Saccharomyces cerevisiae S288C: one gene and its partners. The protein of the gene in region 1 purifies or fractionates together with the protein of each later gene. This does not show direct contact. Each region holds a gene or a part of one and is shown on either strand. Other genes may lie near its edges. The genes, in order: TAF13, TAF6, TAF4 and TAF1.

The links.
Region 2: the proteins of TAF13 (region 1) and TAF6 purify together in Saccharomyces cerevisiae (affinity purification with mass spectrometry; 7 studies listed by BioGRID, with this or other methods). This does not show direct contact.
Region 3: the proteins of TAF13 (region 1) and TAF4 purify together in Saccharomyces cerevisiae (affinity purification with mass spectrometry; 7 studies listed by BioGRID, with this or other methods). This does not show direct contact.
Region 4: the proteins of TAF13 (region 1) and TAF1 purify together in Saccharomyces cerevisiae (affinity purification with mass spectrometry; 10 studies listed by BioGRID, with this or other methods). This does not show direct contact.

Annotation. Positions count from the first base shown.
Region 1 is NC_001145.3:74,255-78,270, forward strand, and holds TAF13 (Taf13p), read left to right. Parts: upstream 1-3,012; coding exon 3,013-3,516; downstream 3,517-4,016. Other genes in the region: ARG81 (Arg81p), read right to left, coding at 144-2,786. UniProt on the Saccharomyces cerevisiae protein: Functions as a component of the DNA-binding general transcription factor complex TFIID. Binding of TFIID to a promoter (with or without TATA element) is the initial step in pre-initiation complex (PIC) formation.
Region 2 is NC_001139.9:295,488-303,290, reverse strand, and holds TAF6 (TATA-binding protein-associated factor TAF6), read left to right. Parts: upstream 1-3,562; coding exon 3,563-5,113; downstream 5,114-7,803. Other genes in the region: CUE3 (Cue3p), read left to right, coding at 1-1,754; ribosome biosynthesis protein NSA1, read right to left, coding at 1,922-3,313; SLD3 (Sld3p), read right to left, coding at 5,353-7,359; YGL114W (uncharacterized protein), read right to left, coding at 7,654-7,803.
Region 3 is NC_001145.3:272,970-280,620, forward strand, and holds TAF4 (Taf4p), read left to right. Parts: upstream 1-3,075; coding exon 3,076-4,242; downstream 4,243-7,651. Other genes in the region: AIM34 (Aim34p), read left to right, coding at 149-745; MVP1 (Mvp1p), read left to right, coding at 1,048-2,583; PLB2 (lysophospholipase), read right to left, coding at 4,592-6,712; YMR007W (uncharacterized protein), read left to right, coding at 6,991-7,371; PLB1 (lysophospholipase), read right to left, coding at 7,621-7,651. UniProt on the Saccharomyces cerevisiae protein: Functions as a component of the DNA-binding general transcription factor complex TFIID. Binding of TFIID to a promoter (with or without TATA element) is the initial step in pre-initiation complex (PIC) formation.
Region 4 is NC_001139.9:1,035,151-1,045,051, reverse strand, and holds TAF1 (histone acetyltransferase), read left to right. Parts: upstream 1-1,956; coding exon 1,957-5,157; downstream 5,158-9,901. Other genes in the region: RNH70 (Rnh70p), read left to right, coding at 1-1,233; RTT102 (Rtt102p), read right to left, coding at 1,303-1,776; YGR273C (uncharacterized protein), read left to right, coding at 5,813-6,337; EFG1 (Efg1p), read left to right, coding at 6,551-7,252; SLH1 (RNA helicase), read right to left, coding at 7,358-9,901. UniProt on the Saccharomyces cerevisiae protein: Functions as a component of the DNA-binding general transcription factor complex TFIID. Binding of TFIID to a promoter (with or without TATA element) is the initial step in pre-initiation complex (PIC) formation.

The DNA of each region.
Region 1 (4,016 bases):
CTTCAAGCCCAATATTCTAATTAAAGGCGTTTATATATTTGTACTTTATGGTATGTGCATATGTATTGTAAAGAATTATTTCAAGACACAGCTCTTCCAGCTACTGGCTCCGGCTATTCATGAAAAATCCAAAAATAACATATTTATGATAGCATCAGATTCATTTCCCAATCTTTATAAACAGAATACCAATTATCGCCCGGCTCATCCTCTTTCCGTCGCCTCCAAACTTCCAACATTACTTGCCTGGCTCCCCAATAGGAGCCCACTCCACTTTCAGCTAATTTGGCTGCCCATCTTCTAAACTCTTGCTGTCTGTTTTCATCTGTGCAAGCACATCCTGCCATGAAACCTTGCCAAATTAAAGGGACAATTTTCACTTTTTTTTGATCCACCAATTCTTCCATTGCATTTAAGTGATCTAATACTTTGGCAACATAGTTTTGTAGAAATTGGCAATTTAAACTTCTTGCCATTGTAAAATAATAAATAATTAAACTGAAATAAAAGCTCATTGTATGGTGATATAGTGCTTCAGCCGTTGAGTTTATGAAGCTTTTTCCCTCCGAATTTTCTTGATGGAAGTTCCATTCTGATTTCCATTTCAATAATCTTTTTTCGAAATTTAACGAGAGTTCATTAAATTTTCGGGGTACAGGTAGGTAAGTTAAATTATAATATTCATTATGTCTCACTATCCTAACACAGTCTGAAAATAGTAATATTAATGAATTAGGCAATCCATAGAGTGAATCTGTACCAATTATGTTTTCATCAGTCTTCGATACTAGCTTAGATATATCAGATTTATTATAGTAACTTTCTGTTGCTATGTTGGTAAAAATTGGAGGAGTGGTCGAAGATGGAGTAGAGTCAGCGGATACGTTTGTGATAGGCTCCTTAACGAATTCAATATGTATTTTGCCGTCATTTTCATTGAGTGCCTCTCTAAATAAACCTTCCTGCACAACGTCAACTCTTGGCTCACTGCTACTGGTAGTAGCGTTAGATGTATCTAATGGTTTGTAATTATCATCTTCTTCACTTGGTAAAATAACAATTTCCTTTGCCCTGACTTTATCCAACGCAGTGCTATCTTGAATTAACTTCAGAAACGAGAAAATCCTGTGTAAGGTTTTTGTCTTTTCAGAAATATTAGGTCTTAGTTTCATTCTTGACTCAACGAAGTCTTCACAAAGAGCCAAGTGATCCTGGCAATCTGCCATCGTCCCCCATACAACATCAATAGAGTTCATAGATAAGATCGCAGTTAGTACGTCTTTATATTTCTCAGGTATGCTTGATTTTGTGTTCAAACATAATCTTAGAAAGTTCGAGGCTTGATTTCTCAATTCGATACCTAGGCCCAGAAAGTATTTTTGTAGTTTGTAGTTCCTTGGGTACTTGCTTTGCAAGTGGAAGCAAGAGACAGCAAGAAGAGCATTCAACAACGCATTCCTCGAGTTGGAGGATTGTCCCAAACCCGCTAAATCGCCTAATGCCATCAAGGCTCTGGGGAAGTATAATGTTTTCCATGGGTTCTTTTCGAGCACGACCACTGTCATTTTATCTGCAACATTATTAAAATAATGATTTAAAAGAAATCTCGCTAAACCATGTACGGTAAGGTCTGTTTTGGGTATAATATCTACCAATTCAGGTGGTAGGTCACTGGAATAGGATGTGAGTTCTAACATGGACTTAGGCATGCGTGATTCTTCATTTGGAGGAGCTAGAGTTATTTTATTCAGATCAGATGCGGGCAGAGATCTTGGTTCAATATTGACGAACACATCGTCGATCAATGCTTGAGGGTCTGGTTCCTCACTGTTCGAAGAGTTTTTCTGGAAGAGTAACTTCAAGTTTTGCTGGTAAAGTTTATCATTGGCACTGGCTGCTTTATTAGGTAAAGTTGATGAACCTTGATTATCAGCCTCAAAGGCACATCCATGTTCTTTGGCATTCACATGCTCTTCCCCACTCACGACATTAGAGTTTTCCTCTAATGAGATTTCTTGTGGCTGTGTGTGTCCTAAGTGATGTCCCTGTAAGGTCACCGCTGACAATAATGCATCATCTCTGAGTTCACTCGAGATCCATTCGTAACCTGTTATATTCAGATTGTTCCAGTCATAATCTAAAAGATTTGGTGTTGGTGGAACACCATCATTAGCAGAGAGAATACCTGTCTTTACATGCCCTTTATTTCTCAACTTGTCTTCAATATGTCTAATTGGAAAGGAAATAGTTGAAGAAGATGGTAAAGAAGATAACGAAATAGAAGCTGAGCTCTCCAAGCTTTTGGCAACTCTTTTCCTATTGCGCTTCTTCCTTGGAGCGTACTGCTTGTCGATCTTATCTGTTCCTTTAAACACCCCAAATTTCTTTATGATCCACGTCTTGTTATCGCTTATTTTCTCAATTGGGGGAGTATGCAGCATTGTTAGCTCATCATCCATATCTTCATGATACACGTATTCTTCATCATAGCGCACAAAATCGATGTTCCGTCGTTGGTATTGTGGTTCATCGACACTACCTGATAAGTTCGTAGTAGTTGCAGGAGAATTTTGTGGGATTGGGACACCGTACGGGTCAAATTGCATAGGCTTAGACCACCGGAGTTTGATATCATAACCGCCACAAGGCAAATTAGACTTTTCACATCGTTGGCAGTGGGGATGCCGAAGATCACACTTAACTTTTCTTCCTCTGCACGTCCAACACCCAGTAAACGTCTTTGCCCTTCCCATTTTTTTAGGGCCATTCTTGCTGGAAATTCCCATTATATCTGCAACTTAAAATTTTCGAGGTACTGATATCGGTAACTATTGCCCACTAAAGCATCAAATCTAAAAGAGATGCTTTTCGCAAGGTGTATTTTTTTTTCATTTATTTTTGAGTTCTAGCGGAAACCGCAGGCGAAGAGTCATTGATAACAAAGAAGGTTCATCAACAACTGCAACATGAAATCCAAAAGGTAACGGCAGGCGAGGGTGAGCTGGATAAGATATGTCTAGGAAGCTGAAAAAAACGAATCTGTTTAACAAGGATGTAAGTTCCTTGCTTTACGCTTACGGCGATGTGCCGCAGCCACTACAAGCTACTGTGCAGTGTTTGGATGAATTGGTATCTGGATATTTGGTGGATGTTTGTACTAACGCATTCCATACAGCCCAGAATTCTCAGCGCAATAAGCTCCGATTGGAAGATTTCAAGTTTGCCCTCCGTAAAGACCCGATAAAGCTTGGGAGAGCAGAAGAACTGATAGCTACTAATAAGTTGATTACGGAAGCTAAGAAGCAGTTCAATGAGACAGACAATCAAAATTCATTAAAGAGGTACAGAGAAGAGGATGAAGAGGGTGACGAGATGGAAGAGGATGAGGATGAGCAGCAGGTGACGGATGATGATGAGGAAGCAGCGGGCCGTAATAGCGCTAAACAATCAACAGATTCGAAGGCAACAAAGATTAGGAAGCAGGGGCCTAAAAACCTCAAGAAAACAAAAAAATGATATAGCTACTTGGCAGGCCCGTTTACGTAGGCTTGATTCAGATATACGTAGTACATATGTCCCTTTGATTTATTAATTAGGCGTTTGCTCTATAAAAGGGGTTTTGAGTTTGCGTTGGTGCTGAACAAAAACACTTGTCATTACAATGGCACAATTTTGAATGCATTGTTTTCTTATTTATATATTTTTCCAAGTAAAATCTTAGGATTCAACTGGTACATTTATTCTTTTAGATTCAAAAACCCTGCTACATTAGTAACGGCAAACTCCTCCCTCTGATAGTTGTGTTGCAATACTCAGCTGTCAGCATTGGATAGTTAAGATGTATTGTTAAGTCACCGCCTGAAACAGCAACTTAAGCTCCCTTCTGTGCTTAGGAAGGTACGTGCGCCTCCTAACCCATCTATTATTTGATTCTAAGTCACAACGAGCCTGTACTAACGAGTTTTAGAAGCGATCGTTATCAGTAAAAAATGTCTCCTGCGGTAAGTTATTTTTAC
Region 2 (7,803 bases), on another chromosome or scaffold:
TATGGCTGCATCTAATAGAAACCTATGTAACGTATTTTGAGTATTTGATGCAAGGTGCTAACGTTGAATTATTAGATGAATCTACACTTGATCATCTTCGTTTATTTTTGAGAACTTACTTGCATGAAATTGCTGATGAGGAAGGAAAGTTATTAAGTCTCGGTATCAACCATGATGTGTCTGAACAGTTATATTTACTAAAAGGCTGGATATTTTCATTGATCAAGAAATGCGGGTTATTACATCTTCAGATTTTTGGTGACTCCCTGTGGAATTTGATCAAAGTATATGTTAGACGTAATCCAGATTCTATTCGTGGTTTGATCGATGGCTCATTGAAACCACGGATCAACACGCAACGTGTACAATTGGACAAATCGTACCAAGTTCAACAGCATTTGAAGCAGTTAATAGAATCTGGAAAATTTAAAAGAATAGATTTAAGGTGCGTTGAAGATCTGCTGTCTGCCAAATCCATGCAGCCAAATAAGTTTGCGGAGAACTTCTTTACGGCAAATTGGATTGAAATTTTAGAGGCATTATGGGCAAAGGGACAGGGCCGGGGTCATAAAGAGGCTAGAGAATTGATCATTATCAGTTTATTTTCTGTTTCTGCTGATCGTTTACTAAAAATAACTAAAGAATTAGGCATAAGCAATTTTGAAACTTTGGCGTTATATCCTCTTTTAGGAACAATGCTCATAAATGAAGGAGTCCACAAAAGGCTTCCTGATTTGAAGAGCAAGTTACTATTTCTGAATTTAGGGGGGTTGTCAATGGACGAAGGAGACCATATGAGCTATCCAACATCATCAGGTACTGAAGTTAATGAAGAACAACTGTCCGCGTTGATGGAATTGTTCCCCCAGTTTTCTAAATATCAATTATCTCAAACGTTGCTTGCCTATGATAATAACATTGAATTAGTAACGAATAAAATATTTGAGGATCCTACCATTATCGAAGCATTCTCCAGAGAACCTGCGGAGGAAGAAGTAGAGCCGGTGTCAGATGGTGATAATGCATCCTTTACTGAAGAACTGAGTATATTGGATAGAGGAGATAGCTCAAAAAATAAAGAGCTAGACAAAAAGATTATCTCGGAGGGTGTTCCGGATGAATTAAGAAATAAAACTTTGACAAGAGCATTGAAACTTTTATACGAGGCTGATGAAGATGAAAGGGATGACACTTATGATGAAGCCGATGTGAACCGGTCCGATCCTTCGAAAAGAATTGGACTTCAAGAAGACGAAGAAAGCTATGATACAAAAGATGATTCTAATGAAGTGCGACAAGATCATAACTATCATATTGTTGAAGCTTACTTGTGGAATCTATTGAAAGAGGATCCGAAATTATTTGAGAGATCAAAAAGAGGTACAAAAGTCAGGAAAACTATGAAAGAAATGACTTCATGGTCGGATGAAAAAATCGAAGGTTGGTGTCGGATGTTAGAAAGATCTCCTACCCGAGCAAGACTTTTAGAAAAGAAGTTTATGTTCAAAGGAAATAGCAAAACAGGGAAAACGTCTTATGTTCATAATCGTGATAGCCAAAATGATGGAAATGTCGTCAAAGAACAAGCCAAACAAAAAAAATCTGAAAATATTAAGAAACATGAACCTCAATCTACTGAACAGAAGAAAAGACAGCATGCTAAGAATGAAAAAAGGAAAGGGGCTAGAGCTAACCATAACCGTAAGAAGGGGCACGATAAAAAATTGGCTCGTGCGGGAAATAACGCTATTTGATAAAATGCATCAGCATACAAGATAGACAAGCGTATGTAAGTTTACTAGACGGTATACAATTATGTAACGTATTATAAGTTATTCAGCGTCGCGTTCAGGAAGTGCTTTTTTTAATAATTTTTCCCGCCGACTAGTAAAACTTTGCCTTCAATTAGCGTCCTTTACTATTAAATTTTGCTTTTCTTACTGGCTTTAGAAGCAGCTACCTTTCCCTCCAATTTATTCCAAAGCTCATCTGCGTCTTCTTCAAGTTCTGTAACCTTCCTTTTTTGCTTCCCTTTGGCAGCTTTCGCACTTGGACTTAGTGGCATCTCGATTTCAACGTCATCCAGCATAACAATAAAATTTATACGGGACCCAACATAAACCTTCACCAGCATTTTGTTAGTTTTTATATCGAAGATCCGAACATACCTATCTAAACCACCTTGTAAAAGATATTTGCCGTCATGTACATGAATATAGGTTGACGAACCAGTGATATCATCTCTACCCACCTTGCCCAACATTCTTCCATTACCATCGAATTTAAAAACATTCTTTTTGTAGTCAGTAGTAATCACATTCAGTTCATTAAAGGTTTCAGATTGAAAATTCCCCAACGAAGAGACAACATTTTCTCCCTTGGCATCAAAAACTTCCATCTGAGATAATGGTTCACGGTTAGGTAATAAATCTATCTGAGCGAACGGTTTTCTGCCATGTTGTGTGCTGTATTTGGTGAGGTGGGACCAACGGGTTATGGCTGCAAACTGGTAGTTCAGCTTACCCTTTTCAGTTTTACCAGGGGAGGGCTCCAAAAATCTTAGGGCCATGGGCCATACTGGGACTCTCATATCCAACCTGTCGTTTTTAACATTCTTGGCTTCCCAAATTTGCTTTAAAGATTGGAAACTCGAATCTATTTCCACTAATTTTATTAAATTCTCCTCCCCTCCGTATGCAAATATATATTTATCAGTATCGGTATCTTCTAGATCATATAACTGAAGAAATTCTACTGGTGCTTTCAGTCCAAGGGATGCTAGTTTTATTAACTTTTTATCTTCTCCTTTTTTTATAATATGTAATAATCCCGATTTGGTAGCAGCTACGAATGTGTTATTCGACGAATCCTTTTTTATGGGACATAATGTGACAAAACCATCCACCAACTTGGTTCTTTTAACAGATTTACTTGAAAGTGATTCCAATTTGGCATCATCAAAAAGGTCTGAAACTGAGCTGGTTATCTCAAACTCGGATATGTCAAATTTGGGTAGATCATCGGAAAGGCTCTTTTCATTTTTGCTTTCTCCTTTGGGATCGACCTGGAGAGCTTCATTTTCTTTAAGGTGTTTCGAAATCTTTACAAGTTCGACGACCCCTGAATTCCTTGCTAAGATGGCTTCATCTTCGGATATCACCCACATCCTGTCAACGTAAGCTTTCAATCCTTCGGCTAGATGAGGTGCCACATGAAAAGGCTGCAGTGCTGATTGTACGGAAGTGTCAGTCCCGATGTTACACAAAACTTCCTTTATGGATCCACTATCCACACAGCTGACTAGTAACCTCATTTTACGATCGAAGCTGGGCCTATTTATGGTTAAATTTTCTCTGTATTATGTTCATTGAAGTGAGGCTTCGAGATTGGGCATCGCTTTACAAAATTTTTCAGCTTTATTTTATTACCAAAAAAATACCCGGAAACCATCAATAACAAACACCGATTCAAGTAGCAGCAAAAGTAGTTCATGAGCGAAAACAATAGATTGGCTTTAAAAAGGAAGCAAAGGACGCCTCAGTGTAGTTGATAGCCTGTTAAAATGTCTACACAGCAGCAATCTTACACAATTTGGTCTCCACAAGATACTGTTAAAGATGTCGCTGAGTCGCTTGGGTTGGAAAATATCAACGATGACGTGTTGAAAGCACTTGCTATGGACGTTGAATACCGTATTCTAGAGATTATTGAACAGGCAGTCAAGTTTAAAAGACACTCTAAAAGAGATGTTTTAACTACAGACGATGTATCGAAGGCCCTGCGTGTTCTGAATGTGGAACCTTTATATGGATATTATGATGGCTCTGAAGTTAATAAAGCTGTATCATTTAGTAAGGTTAACACAAGTGGAGGACAGTCGGTTTACTACCTGGATGAGGAAGAAGTAGATTTTGATAGATTAATAAATGAGCCATTACCGCAAGTGCCTCGTCTACCAACTTTTACTACACATTGGCTAGCAGTTGAAGGGGTTCAACCTGCCATAATCCAAAATCCAAATTTGAATGATATAAGGGTATCCCAACCACCATTTATTAGAGGTGCTATTGTCACTGCTTTGAATGATAACAGCCTCCAAACACCTGTAACGTCGACGACAGCAAGTGCTTCTGTGACGGATACAGGCGCCTCTCAACACCTGTCTAATGTTAAACCAGGACAGAATACTGAAGTCAAACCTTTAGTGAAACACGTTTTATCCAAAGAATTACAGATTTATTTCAATAAGGTCATTTCAACCTTGACAGCGAAGAGTCAAGCTGATGAAGCTGCACAGCATATGAAACAAGCAGCTTTGACTTCACTACGAACTGATAGTGGCCTGCACCAACTGGTTCCATATTTTATTCAATTTATTGCCGAACAAATCACACAAAATCTTTCCGATTTACAATTGCTAACAACAATTTTGGAAATGATTTACTCTTTACTAAGCAATACTTCTATTTTCCTGGACCCTTATATTCATTCGTTAATGCCTTCCATTTTAACCTTGCTATTAGCAAAAAAACTTGGTGGATCACCAAAAGATGATTCGCCGCAAGAAATTCATGAATTTTTAGAAAGAACGAATGCACTACGTGATTTTGCCGCATCTTTGTTGGACTATGTATTGAAAAAATTTCCTCAAGCATACAAATCCCTGAAGCCAAGAGTAACTAGGACACTGCTAAAGACATTTTTGGACATAAACCGTGTTTTTGGGACTTACTATGGGTGCTTAAAGGGTGTATCGGTACTAGAAGGTGAATCCATCAGATTCTTCTTAGGAAACCTAAATAATTGGGCGCGCTTGGTATTCAATGAAAGCGGAATAACTCTAGACAATATAGAGGAACATTTGAACGATGACTCCAATCCAACTAGGACCAAATTTACTAAAGAAGAAACTCAAATCTTGGTTGATACTGTAATTAGTGCATTGTTAGTTCTAAAAAAGGATTTACCAGATTTGTACGAGGGTAAAGGTGAAAAAGTTACGGATGAGGATAAGGAAAAATTGCTAGAGAGGTGTGGTGTCACTATTGGATTTCACATTTTGAAAAGAGACGACGCAAAAGAATTAATTAGTGCGATATTTTTTGGCGAATAGTGAGAATCGGTTTATACTAATAGTACAACGGTAATGTTATATAACAGTTTTTACATACGCCATTGTATGTATATATATATATATGCATGATGAGTTATTTAATTGTATACTCAAAGGCCCCCGAAGTGCGAAATTGTTGTAGCTTAGTTTTATTTTATTCCCTTTTCGTCCAAGAAAAGCTACAAAGATGGAGTTGGGTCAACTACTTGCCAGCGAAGGTGGTCTCGCAGTTTCTTATTCTATGTGGATTCTGGAGCAAATAAACGTCTTCTTACTCTCCTTTTTGAGCTATTTTCCGGGGGCTTATTAGTGGGAGTAGAGGTAATATTGGAGGTATTTTTTCTGCCTTCATGCGTATCATCATCCTTGAAATTTAGCGGCGATTCAATGATGCTTTGAAGTTGCGCCTTTTTATTAGGTGTCACAGTTCTTTTTTTCACAGCAGGAGTGGCTTGAACTTGTACGTTTTCCTCAGAGTCTACACGTTCATGTAGGCGTATCGTTTCATTGATATCTTTACGTTTCCCAACTCTGCGAAAAGAGTTATTCATAGTTTTGTATGCATTAATAGTTGAGTGCGAGAAAGGCGTTTTGAGTGTGATAGTTGATGAATTCGGTACTCTTGTTGTGCTTAAGTCAGAGACAGAAAACTGCCGTTTTTGTAAATGATTCATCGTTAGATCAGACTTCGTCCTTCCCAATTGTGAAGGGCGCTTTAAGCTTCTAGTTTCACTTTCGAGAAATTCATTCAAGTTAGAGTTCGTTCTAGAATTCAAAAGTTCAGGGGTGGGCGAAGCTATAGATTTTCTGCTGAACAAATTAGCGTCCACCCTTCTCAATGCGGGTGAAGATGGGACGGAATTAATGATTGAAGAGCGAGAGGCACGTTGACTCGTGGATAACCTGTTATACGTTTCTACAGTATTAGGTGACGATACATTTGTGCTATCGTTGACCTTTTTCAGGGCTCTCTTTGGTCTCATGCTTGGTCCCTTGAGCTTTTGAATTATAAATTCAACGGCGTGTGGTACCTTTTTGTTGAAATATGGAATAAGAACATAATTTATGAACCCAACCAATGAGGCTTCTTTGCTTTTGTCTAGGATATTTTTTTTATGCTCTTGTATTGTTCCATTTGATGCTTCTATGGCATCTGGGTTGGGCGTTTCACTTGATAGTAGAATGTCCAAGATGCATGCTCTATCTAAGTACAAGTCTAACTGTTCACAATAATCCAAAGATGTTGTTATTCTCTCGATTCCTTTGTCTTTTTCGCTGGTTTTTTTCTTCGATCTTCGACGAACTAATCCCTTTTTTGTCAAATTAAGTGATCTTTTCTTCAATTTTAATTTATACTTTTTCTCAAAATCTCTAAAATTCCAATCTAAATCGTTCAATCCTATTATCTCTAATAGCAATAATATTTGTAGCTTTATTTCGCGGGATTTTAATACAACACATAAATCAGCAATGGTTGAGCTGTTTTTGTTTTCATCTTGGATAACAAATTTTGTGAGACAGTTCTTCCTTTTTTCATCTGCTATGGGACTAGAAAAGGGCTCTAATAAAAGCCTGTTATCATGTCTATCTTTGAATTGTACAATTGAGAGAAGAAATTTTTGCAGCATGGCTTGATAGGCTATTTTGTAACTGTCACTTCCGTACTTGGTTCGGCAGGTATTTTTGAGCCTTACTAAATTTGACTTGACGAAATATGCGAGAGGCGTATGTATGGAAAAAAGAGCATCATAATACTTACTTTCTATGTACTCTTTAGGGTCTGAATAGTAGTCATTAATTTTTGATTCGCCTTTCATATCTGGGGGATTCATATCCAGTTTAAGGTCTTTGTCCTTCTCAAGCTTACACGAGCCCTTGGGTTCTTCTGACCATAAATGAAGAAGCTCTTTAAATTTCAATTCGTCCCATGTTTTTAACGTTTCACGCTTAGCTCTTTCTCTTTCAACTGTCGTTACAACTTCCGTACGCCTTTCTGGTAAGCTGTAACCATTGAAATAATTGTACGGCCACTTAACCCAAAATCCTGGCCCATATTCCTCTAGTAGAAAATACTCTTTTCTTGATTTCATGCAGATGTGTTTCAATTGACGTCGATTCTTCTGTTGCAGTAATTGGAGAATGTTACTGGGCACGTCCTCGGATTTAATAATAAGTGGATGATCTAAGCTCAAGTCAAGGCCTTTTGTTGCTTCTTTTACCGATGCTATGACTTCCCATGTTTCCATTATGAGAGGTCAGATCGTTCCTACCTATACGATCTTAACCCTTCAGCAGTTATGAATGAGGCTTCTGCCTGTTTTAACAGTGCCCATCACTTTTTTTTATTTTTCTTAAATGGACCATGTTGTACACCAAGATAGCCGATATTTCAAGGTCGCGTATAATATAACATTTTGCCTAGGATTTTTGTCACCTAGAAATATATATACAGGGAAATCTAAGACATCGAATTATGTGATGAGTAAATAATTTAAAATTTGTAAACTTTGTAAATTCTTTATTAGTAAAATATTATATACCTAATAGTGAGGGACATTTAAGCAGATGAAGAGCATGTTTATTACGCTAAAGATACCTTCACCTAAGACCAACCCCGAACTGAATACAATCATTTTTGTTTTCGCATTTAAGTCACCCCTATGATTCTTCAACCAAAAATGCGAAGCCCA
Region 3 (7,651 bases), 200 kb from region 1:
CAACAGGGGAGGGTAACGTAGTACCTTCGAAGAGTTTGTTTATTTACTATATTTTATGCTCTTCTTCAGAAGGGCCTGTGATACGCATGTTTCTCAAAAAGACACCTAGTGCAGCTGAACCGGCAAAGTAAAGCTTCTGAAAGAAGACATGTCAATTTCTCTATTAGGTAGAATTGTTTCACAACAATTCTCCGGCATACGGGCGGCTGAGCCAGGGAGATCTCTATATTTACCGTTTACCTTACTATTGAAACAGCCCGGTGCTTACAAGGTGAGCCTACACAGATATGTACATAGCACCCAAACGAAGAGCCACTTGAGCTTTTTAATGAATAATAACGATATAACACCTTTTCAAAAATTTACAGTTAAAGTTCTCAAAGAGCAGTGCAAATCAAGAGGGTTAAAATTATCAGGTCGCAAATCAGATTTGCTACAAAGACTTATCACGCACGATTCATGTTCAAATAAAAAAAGTAGTGTGAAGATAAATGAACCCAAAAAAAAGAGGATATTAATAAATGATCCAATCAAAATCACGAAGAAATTGGTTAGTGATAAAACTTTTAGAACTATTGAAAAAAATATTTCTTCACTGCAGAACACACCTGTTATCGAAACTCCCTGCGACGTTCATTCACACTTGCAACCAAGGGATAGAATATTCTTATTAGGATTTTTCATGTTATCGTGTCTTTGGTGGAACCTCGAACCTCAGGAATCTAAACCTACCATTGACCATTAGAAATATAATTCTAGCACTGTAATTAATTGAACTGTATATTCTTTCATAATTTATTAAGACACTTTTACTTTTCTCTACGCTCTCAATAAGTTATTGTTGATCCAGATCATCTCGATATTGCCGTCATTTTCGGTTAAGGTAGGCGCTTTTACGAAACACATGCCAGAAAAAAAAGTGAGGAAGGAAGGTACAATGAAAACAGGGTGAACGCCACTTCTTTTCACCCAAGTTGTAAGAGAAATAATAGTAAAAGCAATCGAATTTGGATTCTATAAAACACCACTGAGGCGAAAAAAAAAGTAATGGACAATTACGAAGGCAGTGATCCTTGGAATACCAGTTCTAATGCATGGACTAAGGATGATGATCACGTCGTTTCTACCACCAATAGTGAACCCAGCCTCAACGGAATCTCTGGTGAGTTTAACACCTTGAACTTTTCAACACCTCTGGACACAAATGAGGAGGATACTGGTTTTTTACCGACCAACGATGTGCTTGAAGAAAGTATCTGGGATGATAGTAGAAATCCTCTTGGTGCAACTGGCATGAGCCAAACTCCCAATATAGCGGCCAATGAGACAGTTATAGATAAGAATGATGCTAGAGATCAGAATATAGAAGAATCTGAAGCCGACTTACTTGATTGGACTAACAACGTTAGAAAAACATACAGACCTCTAGATGCCGACATCATCATCATTGAAGAGATACCTGAAAGAGAGGGTTTACTTTTCAAGCACGCAAACTATTTAGTGAAACATCTCATTGCTCTTCCAAGTACCTCGCCTTCTGAAGAACGTACTGTCGTAAGAAGATACTCTGATTTCTTATGGTTAAGAGAAATTCTGCTGAAAAGATACCCTTTTAGAATGATCCCTGAGCTACCTCCCAAAAGAATTGGATCCCAAAACGCAGACCAGCTTTTTTTGAAGAAAAGAAGAATAGGGTTATCTAGATTCATTAATTTGGTAATGAAACACCCTAAATTAAGTAATGATGATTTAGTGTTAACATTTTTAACCGTACGCACTGACTTAACAAGTTGGAGAAAGCAAGCAACCTATGACACTTCAAACGAATTCGCTGATAAAAAGATATCACAAGAATTTATGAAAATGTGGAAAAAAGAGTTTGCAGAACAATGGAACCAGGCTGCATCTTGTATCGATACCTCGATGGAATTATGGTATAGAATCACGCTTCTCTTGGAAAGGCATGAAAAAAGAATTATGCAAATGGTACACGAAAGAAATTTTTTTGAGACACTAGTGGATAACTTTAGCGAAGTGACTCCAAAACTATATCCGGTACAACAAAATGATACCATATTGGACATTAATAACAATTTGAGTATAATTAAAAAACACCTAGAAACTACGAGTAGTATCTGCAAACAAGAAACAGAAGAAATATCGGGAACGTTATCGCCAAAATTCAAAATTTTCACGGACATCTTACTTTCTTTGAGAAGTTTATTTGAGAGATACAAAATTATGGCTGCAAATAACGTAGTTGAATTGCAAAGACATGTCGAATTGAACAAAGAGAAATTGGAATCGATGAAAGGAAAACCAGATGTCAGTGGAGCAGAGTACGACAGGATAAAAAAAATCATACAGAAGGATAGAAGAAGCATAATAGAGCAATCAAACAGAGCTTGGTTGATAAGACAATGTATTTTGGAAGAGTTTACAATCTTTCAGGAAACCCAATTTTTAATAACACGTGCCTTCCAGGATTGGGCAAAATTGAACTCCAACCATGCCGGTCTCAAACTGAATGAGTGGGAAAAGCTCGTCACAAGCATCATGGATATGCCGATTTCTCGTGAATAAATTTTACGGAGTGAAGACTAACCACTTAGTCTGCCAAAACATTATTGAAGGATATCCAACAGATGTAATTGACGTACTAAACAGAGAAATAATTAGGTAAATAGAGTAAAGATATGTACCACTATAAATTGTTATTTATTTGTTTTTCAATTTTAAATACAGTGTATGAAGCCTAATTCGGATATTATAGGTTCCCATATTTATTAGAAGGTAACAAATCTTTCGATAATTTGGATTAGATAGCCTTATAATATGCCGGACAAACGACGCCCGCTAAAAATGTGTATTCTCCAGTATTCAATATTCGTCATAAATGATCTTAATTTGAAAAAGTGAATGAACTGAACATCGATAAGTCGAATGTGGTCCGTGTAATAGCTCAAATGGGAAAGTTTTTCTAATCAGCATTCTGTATAACCTCACCTGCACGTAATCTAAAGTGCTTTTATCGATTGGTAGTGCACATATTGTCTTTCGGCATCATATCACATAATGGCAAATTCGCCGAAAAAGCCATCTGATGGCACTGGAGTATCAGCGTCAGACACGCCTAAATATCAACATACCGTCCCAGAAACGAAACCAGCATTTAATTTGTCACCAGGTAAAGCTAGTGAGCTATCACATAGCCTTCCGTCGCCTAGCCAGATAAAATCAACCGCACATGTATCTTCAACTCACAATGATGCGGCAGGTAATACGGATGATTCTGTTCTTCCTAAAAATGTATCACCCACAACTAATTTGAGAGTTGAAAGTAATGGAGATACAAACAATATGTTCTCTAGCCCTGCTGGACTAGCTCTACCAAAAAAGGATGATAAAAAAAAAAACAAGGGTACGAGTAAAGCAGATTCTAAAGATGGCAAAGCATCCAACTCCTCAGGACAGAATGCACAACAACAATCAGACCCAAATAAAATGCAAGATGTCCTTTTTTCCGCAGGTATCGATGTTAGGGAGGAGGAGGCTCTTCTAAATTCATCTATTAATGCCTCAAAATCCCAAGTTCAAACAAATAACGTTAAGATCCCCAACCATTTACCATTCCTTCACCCGGAACAAGTTTCCAATTATATGAGGAAAGTCGGAAAAGAGCAAAACTTCAACCTGACCCCTACAAAGAATCCTGAAATTTTGGACATGATGTCAAGTGCCTGCGAAAACTATATGAGAGATATCCTAACAAATGCCATTGTCATCTCCCGACATAGAAGAAAAGCAGTCAAGATAAATTCTGGTAGAAGAAGTGAAGTTTCTGCGGCTTTAAGAGCCATTGCACTAATTCAAAAAAAAGAAGAAGAAAGGCGTGTGAAAAAAAGAATTGCGTTGGGACTCGAGAAGGAAGATTATGAAAATAAGATTGATTCCGAAGAGACGTTACACAGAGCATCGAACGTTACGGCTGGCCTTAGAGCAGGTAGTAAAAAACAGTATGGTTGGCTAACTTCATCAGTAAATAAGCCGACGTCCTTGGGAGCAAAATCTTCAGGCAAAGTCGCCTCCGACATCACGGCTAGAGGAGAAAGTGGGCTAAAGTTTAGAGAAGCTAGAGAGGAGCCTGGTATAGTAATGAGGGATTTACTCTTTGCTCTCGAAAATAGGCGCAACAGCGTTCAGACTATTATTTCAAAGGGTTATGCCAAGATCAGAGATTAATTGCTCATCTCTTATACTGTCTATAATATTTAAAGGTATAGTGTTTCAAATAAACTAGGATATAAAAAAAACAAGATTGACTAACATAAAGAAGGCCGGTTGGTGTCGCTTAGTCAAGTCATCGCCAAGCTATTGAGGACCATTCAACCTTTTTGCTTTGTTCATTTTAACTTTATAATAAGGAAGATATATCAATCCTTGAAGTTAGGCATCCTTCTACCAAAAATAGCGGAAAGAGGAGTGATAATCGGGAAAAAAATTTTCATATTAATACACATTTTTATACATTTACTTGTCATTATCCTTTTGGGTGAAAGGATGTATTATGTATTGTTTCTCAGAAGGGCTTCTAAATTAGTCCAAATAATGCTGTTATGGCACCTAACAAACTCATTAGAGTATTAGTGTTCGCATAGGAAATAGCCGCAGCATTCGCTTTGTTTGCCGTAGAGGAAGAAGAACGAGCTGTAGAGGAAGAAATTGAAGAGGATGAAGAATTTGAGTTTAAAGTTGTATTTGACGAAGAGTTTGAGTTAGAAGTGACATTTGATGAAGTCGAGGTTGTTGAGTTTGATGTAGTATTTCCGGAGGTTGATGAACCTAAGAGAGCCGTTATTGGAATACCGTCAGTAGCCTCAGAGATTGCAGAGGCAATAGCACCGCTTTGATACGTACTATTTCCCGATAGTTCAGGATTAGCTGAGGTACTTAGTGTGCCGTTCCAGCAGTAATCCGCAAAACATTTGGTACATTCAGGGGGCAAGGTGGCATTTAGGCTTTCTTGCTTACGTCTAATGATGGCACAACCTATGCAACCTAAAAAGTTAGAGTCATCCGTAAAGTTGCCCATTGTAGCAGCTTCAAAACCATTTCTGATCATTCCAAGACGTTCTGTAACATTGTAGTTCATCTTCAAAGTACTTTGGTTACCATTGAATGAATGTTTTGTGTTTGGGATATATACAACTAAAGGTGGAATATACTCCAAGTCCGTCAAATTTTTTGCATCACAACCAAAAAACGTTGGCTTATTAGTTAAGCCCAAGTTAAGGAAGGTGTTAACGTCTGGAACATATGGGAAAGCCATTCCTTTACCTTGCTTAGAATACTGGCGCTCATAAGTGTTCGTCATGCACACACCACTTGGCCATGATTCATCAGTATTGTCGGATATATCCAATGCGAACACCACATCCAAGTCACGTTCCTTCTTGATTAGTGGAACCAACGGCAAATTTTGGCCGTCCTCACCACCATCAACTAAAAACAAATCATCGGCATCAACAATACTGGAAGTGTAATTGCGGTCAACAAATTCTGTATCCTTGAATGGATTTGCAGCGTAAATTGCAATATCATCGTCATCTTGGGATAGGTTGTTAACGTACTTGTTGGCAAAACTATTAATCATTTTATAATAGGTCGAAGTGGAAGCTTCCAGGGAAAATTCGTTGAATAAACTGGCGGATGTGGCAATTACAAATCCAGCATTATCGTAACCAGAAACGCATTGATCCTTGTTGACCGGTTTACCATTTGTAACGTTGGTACCTAGATATTTCACATCCGTAAAAGCGTTCAAAGAAGGATCCCAAGAACCCATTTCAAATGGAGTGAACTCGAAAAGAGTGGCATTCAAGTTTATCACGGTGGTACCTGGGTATCTACCATCTGCAACAGTAATTGGTAAAGGCATTTCACCGTTTTTGAACACATCAACATCTCTCAAAGAGGACCAAGTCAAAGCGGAGCCAGCATCTGGCAAGCTTGGAAAGAAGTTGTAAGAAAGTGCACGGGCCCACAAATCCGACAAAGATATATTGAAGCCTGCATCAGACTTAGCCTGCACTTCTTGTACAATGGACTCCCATCTTTCAATTGTGTAGGTCAAATTAGAGCCACCAGGGTTCACAATGGATTTCGTGATATTCCAGATGGAATCGCTCTCACTCATATGGTCTACAATTTCCTGTACAGAGGTCCAATTGTTCCATGCCAAAGTACCAGTCAACCAGTTACCACCGGACAAACCCGATAGATACGTGGAACTTTGTAGTAAACCACCAAGACCATGCTCGTTAGCACCATCAGTACGATTGTCCATAGCAGCAATCATACCAGCACCACCCAACATGGCACGATAACCACCACCAGAGCATGCAATACCAATTTTGGGTACATTGGAAGAGTTACTACTGAAAAGAGTGGATAGCAAAGAAGTGTCACTGAAGTTAGAAGTAGCTCTGCTTAAGAAGGAATGTAAAGCTTCTTTAGTGTACGCATCTCTTTTCTTTAACCAATCAGTTTCAGCGGTAGATAAGCCAGACGCGTTTCTAACTAAAGAGGTATCATCACTGGGACAAGGAATTATTGATGGAGCATAACCATCACCAGTAGTGGACGACGAATCTGCAGCGAGCGAAAGTCCAGAAATTAGCGAGCTAGCCTGTAATATGTTCCGTAATTGCATCTGCGTAAGAAGTGTTACTTTACCAGCGCGAGTGAATTTTAACTCACTTCTAACCCTTGATAAGATTTGAAGGCACACTAAGGAAAAACAAGCTAAAAGACATTTCTAACGCCTTGTAAAGATAACTAATTGTGCTCATATATAAGGTATATTCTACTCCACATGAGATACGAAAAGAAGAAGATTCTCAGACTATTTAACTCTTTGTCCTTTTTTTACCTTTTTTTTGATTTTTTTTTCACTTTCTTCTGTTGGTAAACAATGCCAAGGTGGAGAATATGCGGAAGAAATGTCCGCAAGGTAAAAAATTGTTGAAAAAGGCGACGCGTCCCTTTGTAGGAGCTTTTCGAAGGCGTATACGAGCCAAGAAAAACCTTATTTCCCAGTTTGGCCAGACCGGCTGCATTGGGTGCGACGGTAAATTCTCTATAGGCATCACCATTGAAAAGTATGTCCTTAATTTAGTCGTGAGAATCATCATTGTGTTCGCCCTTTGTCGTATAACCGAATTGAGTGTCTTTGATTCATCTCTAAGGTGTAAAAGCAGAAAAACCAGATTATCTAAAGCTGCAAGAAAGAAAGAAACTGATCATTTTCATGAACAGTGCAGATATGTGGAAGTGAAATTTGGCCTGCAGATGGCATATCTGCAATCCTAGCTTTTTCCTTCTGCACTTTAAACCTATCTATATATCTTCGATGAAAGTACTGCATGAACATATCTGTATAGATAGATATATGTAGGGAAGACACCCGGTATGTAAATGTTAATGCTCGTAAGATTTCGAGTTTGTAAAAATAAGATGCGGTATGCACTTGAGATCTCGTAAACTATTTGTATGTTGATATTTTTGCGCTTTTCTCACTCTCGTATTCTTTTAGAAAAGAAATAGAAACGAAGAAAGAGCCTAAATTAGACCGAAGACGGCACTAATGACA
Region 4 (9,901 bases), on another chromosome or scaffold:
ATGGCACCTGGTTCCAAGATGACGCTCTTTTCGCCCTACAATTCATTTATTAATGTTGGATTGTCCAAAATGGAGAAAATAAATAAATTGAAAGAGTTACAAAAGAAGAAGAAAATTACTATTAACGATTTGGTTCTATCCGAACAACAGTTAGTGGCAAACGATTACCCACTGGATTCTGGAGACACCAATTTTGATACAGACTGGGTACAAACTGTTGACTTTACCCATGGTGGCTCCCACATCTTTGCACTAGACTGTGAAATGTGTCTTTCCGAACAAGGTTTAGTTCTAACTAGGATTTCTCTAGTGAATTTTGACAATGAAGTTATCTATGAAGAGTTGGTGAAACCTGATGTCCCCATAGTGGACTATTTGACACGTTACAGTGGTATAACTGAAGAGAAACTAACTGTTGGTGCCAAGAAAACATTGCGAGAAGTACAAAAAGATTTACTAAAGATAATAAGTCGTTCAGATATTTTGATAGGACATTCGCTACAGAATGATTTGAAAGTCATGAAATTGAAACATCCATTGGTCGTGGATACAGCTATTATATACCATCATAAAGCTGGCGATCCTTTCAAGCCAAGTTTAAAATACTTGAGCGAAACCTTTCTGAATAAAAGCATTCAAAACGGAGAACACGATTCTGTCGAAGATGCAAGGGCTTGTCTTGAATTGACGAAATTAAAAATCTTAAATGGGTTAGCATTTGGGATAGGTATCAATACGGAGAACTTGTTCACCAAATTACATCGTTTTGAAGTGAAAACCGTTCTTCTCAACGATATGATTATTAAAAATCATACTGAGGACGATTCTAAGGGCCAGTTAATCCGTTGCGTCGAAGATGATGAGACATGGACCCATATTCACGAGAATCTAAATAAAGATGTCAAACTTATTGTGGGGAGAATCAAGAACTTAGAGAGGTCACGCAACTATAATAAAAAGCCACGGAAGGAAACTCCTTCGTTCGATGCGTCCATGGTTCTTCATGATATAGGGCAACATCTAACACAATTATACGAGAATGCTACACCAGGTACTATGATTTTGATCATGTCGGGTACAGGCGACACAAGACCATGGAACAATCTTTCAACTGAGTTAGAGTTTATTCAAGACAAAAAGGAAAGATTAGATAAAAGACGCGAAAGGGAACCTGAAATAGTAGAAGCCATAAAGTTAGCCCGGGGTGGTGTAGCATCCTTTACTGTAAAATAATTCTATGTGTATAAATATATAAATATATATATATATATATATATATATATATGCATAATACTTTTCCTTTTAATTCATTTTCACATCTTTACTCTCCTTTGTATTATCATTGTTCACTCCCGCAGATAACCCAGGAATGGCTTCACTATTACCGACAGCGCCTCTTATATCATCCACACTAAGAGCTTCATCTCCTTGATTAGCAGAAGGAGCACCGGTGGCCTTACTTGTATCACCCTTAGTGTGCGATGTCATCAACGACTTTTTCAGTATTCTTCTATCAAATTCTTTCAAATCTAATATATCCTCACAGCTCTCCCTCTGTAGATTTTTCTCATCTTCCTGGTTCCTCAACCATGTTTTATACCTGAATGGATATTTCTCCAAGTTATTCTCCATGTCCCCTAGCTGTTGTTGTGGTTGCTGCACATTGGAGCTCACCTTAGATGGTTGGTACCAATCATACCTCCATGATTCCTTACTCGTAGGGTTGCCATAGTAAGAAACCTTATTGGCCTTAGTAATGAGCGTCTGTGGGTCCATTTTCTCTATCTCTTGCTGACGTAGCTCTTTCTTTCCAACATTAGGTTTTATCGCCTTGTTCATTAATAAACTAGTCGATAATTTCATTTCGCGGCGATGGTTTTCAAATGTGCTTTTAAGAGAATAAATAGCATTTTAAACACAGAGAGAAAAAGAAGTACAACAGGAGTATAAGGCGATATGGTAAAGCAGCAGGGATCCGGCAAGACCAACTTGGCCAACGAAGATGAAGCATATGAAGCTATTTTTGGCGGAGAGTTTGGCTCTTTAGAAATCGGGTCATACATTGGCGGGGATGAAGGTGCCAATTCAAAGGACTATACGGAGCATTTGCCGGATGCTGTAGATTTTGAAGATGAAGATGAACTTGCTGATGACGATGACGATTTGCCAGAAGAATCTGATGCTAATTTGCATCCAGCTATGATGACTATGGGCGCGTATGATGATGTAAACGAGAACGGTGCCGTACTCGGTATCGACTCAAATAGTTTGAATATGCAACTGCCTGAAATTAATGGTGATTTGTCTCAACAGTTTATTTTGGAGGATGATGGGGGTACTCCCGCAACTAGCAATGCTTTGTTTATGGGAATGGATGCAAATGAAATTCATCTCGCCACTGAAACTGGAGTTCTTGATGGTAGTGGCGCAAATGAAATTGGGCATTCTCAACTTTCCATTGGTGGCGTTAATGGAAATGATATGTCGATAAATGGTGGATTTATCATGGAACCAGATATGTCAGATGGCAAGCATAAGAAAGCCACCAAATTAGACTTGATAAACCATGAGAAGTATCTTCTAAAAAAATACTTTCCTGATTTTGAAAAGGGTAAAATTTTAAAATGGAACAAGCTGATTTATAGAAGATCTGTTCCTTATCATTGGCACAGTGAAATATCTAGGGTAAAGAAACCGTTTATGCCTTTAAATTTGAAATTCAAGGTTCAACAGGATGATAAGAGGCTATTCAACTCAAGGACAATATCTTACGTCGCTCCGATTTATCAAGGGAAAAACAATTTACTTCAAAGTAACTCTTCTGCATCCCGAAGAGGTTTAATTCATGTTTCCATTGATGAACTTTTCCCTATCAAAGAGCAACAAAAAAAAAGAAAGATTATTCATGATGAAAAGACCATATCGGAAGACTTGCTTATTGCCACTGATGATTGGGACCAAGAAAAAATCATCAACCAAGGTACTTCATCAACAGCAACCTTGGCGGATTCGTCTATGACACCCAACTTAAAGTTCTCCGGCGGTTATAAATTGAAGAGCTTGATTGAGGATGTTGCTGAAGATTGGCAGTGGGATGAAGACATGATCATTGATGCAAAATTGAAAGAGTCTAAACATGCTGAATTAAATATGAATGACGAAAAACTGTTGCTGATGATTGAGAAAACAAATAATTTAGCGCAGCAAAAGCAACAACTGGATAGTAGTAACTTGATATTGCCCCTCAACGAAACTATTTTGCAACAAAAATTCAATTTATCTAATGATGATAAATATCAAATCTTGAAAAAAACCCATCAAACAAAAGTTCGTTCTACCATCTCGAACTTAAATATTCAGCATTCTCAACCTGCGATTAATTTACAATCTCCATTTTACAAAGTGGCTGTTCCTAGATACCAGTTGAGGCATTTCCACCGTGAAAACTTTGGTTCGCACATCAGACCAGGTACTAAAATTGTCTTCAGTAAGTTAAAAGCGCGTAAAAGGAAAAGAGATAAAGGTAAAGATGTCAAAGAATCATTTTCTACATCTCAAGATCTAACCATCGGGGATACTGCTCCTGTTTATTTAATGGAATATTCTGAACAAACACCGGTAGCTTTGTCTAAATTTGGTATGGCCAATAAATTAATTAATTATTATCGGAAAGCCAATGAACAAGATACTCTAAGGCCCAAATTGCCTGTTGGCGAAACTCACGTTTTGGGAGTTCAAGACAAATCACCATTTTGGAACTTTGGATTTGTTGAACCTGGTCATATCGTCCCCACATTATACAATAACATGATTAGAGCACCCGTTTTCAAACATGATATATCAGGAACAGATTTTCTTCTGACAAAAAGTTCCGGATTTGGTATAAGCAATCGATTTTACTTACGTAATATTAACCATCTTTTTACGGTTGGACAAACTTTTCCTGTCGAGGAGATTCCCGGACCTAATTCAAGAAAGGTGACATCAATGAAAGCTACAAGACTGAAAATGATTATTTATAGAATTCTAAACCATAATCACAGCAAGGCAATTTCTATTGATCCCATTGCAAAGCACTTTCCCGACCAAGATTATGGACAAAACAGACAAAAAGTGAAGGAGTTCATGAAATATCAAAGAGATGGTCCTGAAAAAGGTCTGTGGAGGCTTAAAGATGATGAAAAATTGTTAGACAATGAAGCAGTGAAAAGTTTAATTACGCCAGAGCAGATCAGCCAAGTTGAATCAATGAGTCAGGGCTTACAATTCCAAGAAGATAATGAAGCATATAATTTTGATTCTAAGCTAAAATCTCTAGAAGAAAACTTGTTACCATGGAACATTACAAAAAATTTTATTAATTCAACACAAATGCGAGCTATGATACAAATACATGGTGTTGGTGACCCAACGGGCTGTGGTGAAGGTTTTTCTTTCTTGAAAACTTCAATGAAAGGTGGTTTTGTTAAGTCTGGTTCTCCTTCCAGTAATAACAATAGTTCAAACAAAAAAGGCACTAACACGCATAGCTACAATGTGGCTCAACAGCAAAAAGCTTACGACGAAGAAATTGCGAAGACCTGGTATACACATACAAAATCGTTGAGCATAAGCAATCCTTTTGAGGAAATGACCAATCCTGATGAGATTAATCAGACCAACAAGCATGTTAAGACGGATAGAGATGATAAGAAAATTCTGAAGATTGTTAGAAAGAAAAGAGATGAAAATGGTATAATTCAAAGGCAGACAATTTTCATAAGAGATCCTAGGGTCATTCAAGGATATATAAAAATCAAAGAACAGGATAAAGAAGATGTTAACAAATTGTTAGAGGAGGACACTTCAAAGATAAATAACTTGGAAGAACTTGAGAAACAGAAAAAACTGTTGCAACTAGAATTAGCTAATTTGGAAAAATCACAGCAACGTAGAGCAGCAAGGCAAAATTCGAAGAGAAATGGTGGTGCCACGAGAACAGAAAACTCTGTGGATAATGGTAGCGACCTTGCCGGTGTAACTGACGGGAAAGCAGCCAGGAATAAAGGTAAGAACACTACAAGGAGATGTGCTACATGCGGACAAATCGGGCACATTAGAACAAATAAATCTTGTCCAATGTATAGCAGTAAAGATAACCCTGCTTCACCAAAGTAGATTCAGTATAACGATGTATTGATCGAATAAAACTTTTGTAAAGGTTTTGTATAATGTAACAATAAAGAAATGTACACTATGTTTCTAAACACTGGCAGTGATCAGATTGATAATTTATTGAGTCATATCCTTAAACGATGGACGTGGTGTGTGAATGTGCACTTTTGCAGTAAGATGAAAAGTGCATATTATTTGAGTTCCATTAATATAGCCCAACTCACTGATTAAACACAATAATTGTTGTCTTTGTGCTCGAGTATTTAAAGCTTGTATTTTTCCAGTCTGATTGGAAATCACAGAGGTTAAAACATAAAGGACAATAGCAGAAAAGGTTCCCTAATATGCATTTTTCATACTGGTTGCTCTTTTCCTTTACAAAAGCAAATTCTTACTCAAAATTTAATCTTTTTCCCTATAGTAACCTGTTTGTCTTGATAAATATAATATGATTTATGTAGTTTTATTACTATAATTATATCAAAATTTTAATTTGTGTCTATTTTTTCCTCAACTAAGTTACCTTTTTTCATTTATATGCATTTGTGACGCACTCAAAAGTGTGATGCTGTCGTCAATTTTATAATGTTAAGAATATTAAAGCAAAAGTTTCCTAAAGTAATATCTGAAGTGCTCTAAAATCATAGTTTATCAAAAAATGCAACATTTCGAAAGTTCAGATAAGATAGAAAAGGATGATGATACATCAAGAATTAAATTACGCTCTTCTTCTTTGGCCGCTCCAATCCTCGAGGCTGTTCAAGAAGCCCAGCCTTTTGAAGAAGCCACTTTCTCTAACTTACAGAAGATACATCCGTTAACAGAAAACTCAACTTGCAATGGTTATGTTATTTACGATAAAGATGGAAATTTGAAATCCATGAAGGATACATTTGGTAGGAATATAAAAACACCTGATATTTCAAATCCTACAAGAGCAAGAAATGAAAGGCCATTGGATACAATACGTGGATTTGAATACTCCATAACAAAAGATCCCCGCTGGTTGCAAGAGCTAGAAACATCTAAGTTGGGATTTAAACCTAGACCTGGATTTGCCGTCATTAATCAAGACTCACAGGCTTCAATAAATTTATCTCAACTGGAAGAAAAAGTTATGGAAAGCCAAAAAAAAAAGGAGAAAAGACACATATCACGGCTTTCTCGGTTACTCTGCAGATGAATATAAAGATAAGTACGCTAAGATTATAAAAAGTGCTTGAAGCTCAAAAATATGTATTCCTTTAATTTCTGCGGTACCCTATGCCGGAGCACTAAGAAAAACACATTCAAAAAAATTTTCATACTCATCTCATCTCTACAATTAAACAATACATAAAACAAATATCGTGACTTAGTTATTTTACTTATATCATTCAATAAACCTAATCAATCAATGGCTAAATTACAGAGGAAGAGAAGCAAGGCTCTTGGGTCATCTCTAGAGATGTCCCAGATAATGGATGCAGGAACAAACAAAATTAAAAGAAGAATAAGAGATTTAGAGAGGTTATTAAAAAAGAAGAAAGATATACTTCCATCCACAGTAATAATAGAAAAGGAAAGAAATTTGCAAGCTTTACGGTTGGAATTGCAGAATAATGAACTCAAGAATAAGATTAAAGCCAACGCTAAAAAATATCATATGGTGAGATTCTTTGAAAAAAAAAAAGCATTGAGAAAATATAACAGATTATTGAAGAAAATAAAAGAATCTGGCGCAGATGATAAAGATTTACAACAAAAGTTGAGAGCCACTAAAATTGAATTATGTTACGTGATAAATTTTCCCAAAACTGAAAAGTATATTGCACTATATCCGAATGATACACCATCTACAGACCCAAAGGGCGTAGAATTGACAAATCTTAGAAGAGAACAATTTCTTAAATTAGTAGCTGAAAGAATGGATGCGAACACCTTAAACGTATCTTTCGAAGAGATATTGAAGGGAAAGAAATTGGATGAAGATTCCATCGGATTAACATTATCACCTGATAAAGATCATGAGGATGGATCACAAGTATCACCTACACAGGATAGAAAAGAATTGGATCAAGTTGTGGGAGAAGATGAAAAGGATGACTTTTTTGAGTAAAAAAATTCTAAATGCGTTATGTAAGAAAATATATACGAAGATGTATACTAGATAGATTTCCACTGTTATCTTTCACAAAATAATTGTTGTTTTAATTGTGTCTCACTAAGAGATTAGTTTATGGACCATATCATAACGTAATCCTAAAGCGTCATTAATAAGGGAAAATTGCAATTCTTCGCCACGAATTTCTTCGGGAATAAATAGATCACAATGTATTATGACCTCTTTATTCATTTGTTTTGGTTGACACCTTTTAATCATCAGCAGTTCATCGCCTTTGTGTCCAATTAAAAACCATAGTTCTTTTTGTATCTTAGGGAATTTATCACAATATACTTCAAACCCATTATTATGCTTACTAGAAAGGTGCTTGCTATAAAATGTTAACACCTCGTTATTTTCCTGTTCTTCAAATTTCATGCCTTCTAAAACCGGTAATCTTTGGCAGACACTGACGAAACGTTTTTTCGTATCTTCGCTTTCTGTCATTCCAAAAGTTAGTTGATCAAAAACATTTAATAATTTCTTATATCCAAACCTTCCTATTTCCTCCAAGGTTAACAGCTTTTTCTTCTTTTGCTGCGGCGTCATTTCAATGAACCCCTGCTCGCTAAAAGTGTAATCTTTGATTCTTCTCAGTTGTAATCCTGGAAGTACACTAACAGGATCGTCTTCATACCAATACCCTTGCTTTATGCATTGCATCATCTTTATCATGGTCAATACCGTATGAAAGTAACCCAATTCACTGGCGACATCAATATAAGCCTGTAGAATACGTAGAGATTGATCCAAAACTGATACGGTATCCTGGATATAATCTGCAATCGGTAAATCTACACGGCTTAAATGAGCTTGAAGTAATAAAAATGTTTTTACATGTGGATCCCACATCGGTAATTCGAATTCATCGGTAAAAGTGCTTTCAACGGAGTACCTCGATTGCTGCGACATTTCTTCATTCATGATAATTTCACCACCTCTTACAGGCAATTCATTATACTCAACAGCCAACGATAACCATCGTAATACCTCTTGAAAAGTCGCATGATCATGTATCTGTTTCAATAATTGGCGTATCGTTAAATGTGAAATATAGTAGTATGAGGATATACTTAAGAATGGCGTAGCAACAATATCATCTCCATGTAATAAAACACATTGTGATTCTCGCAGATTTTCTAATGTGCTATCTATCAAAGAACTCAAATGTTCACTGACTCCTGCTGTACTTGTATCATCTTCAATGCCATAATATGTCGGGTTATGATGCGCTCTACGAAACAAAAATGTCCAACTCAAAAAATCTAACGCTTCTTGCTTATTAGTTATGCTACCTGACGTTATTTCTGCACCTAAATGATCATCTAATACCTTGTGCAAGGAGGACTCGACAGGAAAACCAACGTTTAGGAAATGTTTATAAAACATTTTTTTGGACTCTTTTGTATAAACGATAGCAGTACCTGTAGTGTCATAAGCCGGTCTACCAGCTCTCCCCATCATTTGCAAGATATCTGTTAAATCCATATCTCTATATCCTTCAATTTTTGCATCAAAAAATTGTGTACCTTTGATGATAACCAAGTGAGCTGGCAAATTGACACCCCACGCTAGGGTTGATGTAGCGATCAGAATCTGAATTTTGTTTTTTTGAAACAACTGATGAGAAATAGAACGATCTTTTTGCACTAGACCTGCATGATGCAATCCAATACCGAACTGGAGTGATAACTTTAAAGTGTCGTCAGTGACCTGTGATAAGTAATATTGCAGTTCCTCCTCATCGTCTATATTCAAAAACCTACGTGGATTATCTTCCATTCCACATAAGTGGATCAAGTCTAAAGCCGTTAGTCTAGTTTGTCTACGCGATGCAACAAATATTAATGCTGGTTTATCAGGTGAATGTTGTTTAATGGCCATAAACACAGGTTTGTTCATTGTTTTCATCAGAGGACAGAATGCCAAATTATCTGGAAATCCATCAATGTACATTTTCAATGGAACCGGACGGACGCTTGACGGGAAGTTATACAGTCCGTGGTCCTTAACTCCCAACCAGCCAGCCATGTCGTAGGCGTTTGAAACAGCAGTTGACATACCTAGCAGTCTGACCGGTTGCTTGGTTTGAGAGGAAATATAATTCATACGACTAACAATCATTTCTAAGATAGGACCACGATCACTAGCCAACAAATGAATTTCATCCATGATAATTAAAGATACATCTTGAACAAACTTACGAGTTTGCCAATTACGGGAAATACCATCAAACTTTTCTGGAGTTGTAATAACAATGGTGGCATCATGCACATCTTTAGGATCTGGCAAAGAATCACCGGTTAACTCTACAACTTTATCTCCGGTCACTGGTGTTATTTTCTTTCTCCAGTCATCAACCCTTTCACGTACTAATGCTTTCATTGGTGCGATATAAACAATCTTTTTCCCAGGAAATGTTTTGAAGGCATGCCATATAGCCAATTCAGCCACAATCGTTTTACCAGAACCTGTAGGCGAGCCAACAAACGCATTCTCATTGGTATTGTAAAGTGTATAAAATGTCATAGTTTGCATGGGATTGAAATACTTGAAAGGATAAATTGACTCAATTAAAGGATTCTGGAGGGCTGATGTAGGTAG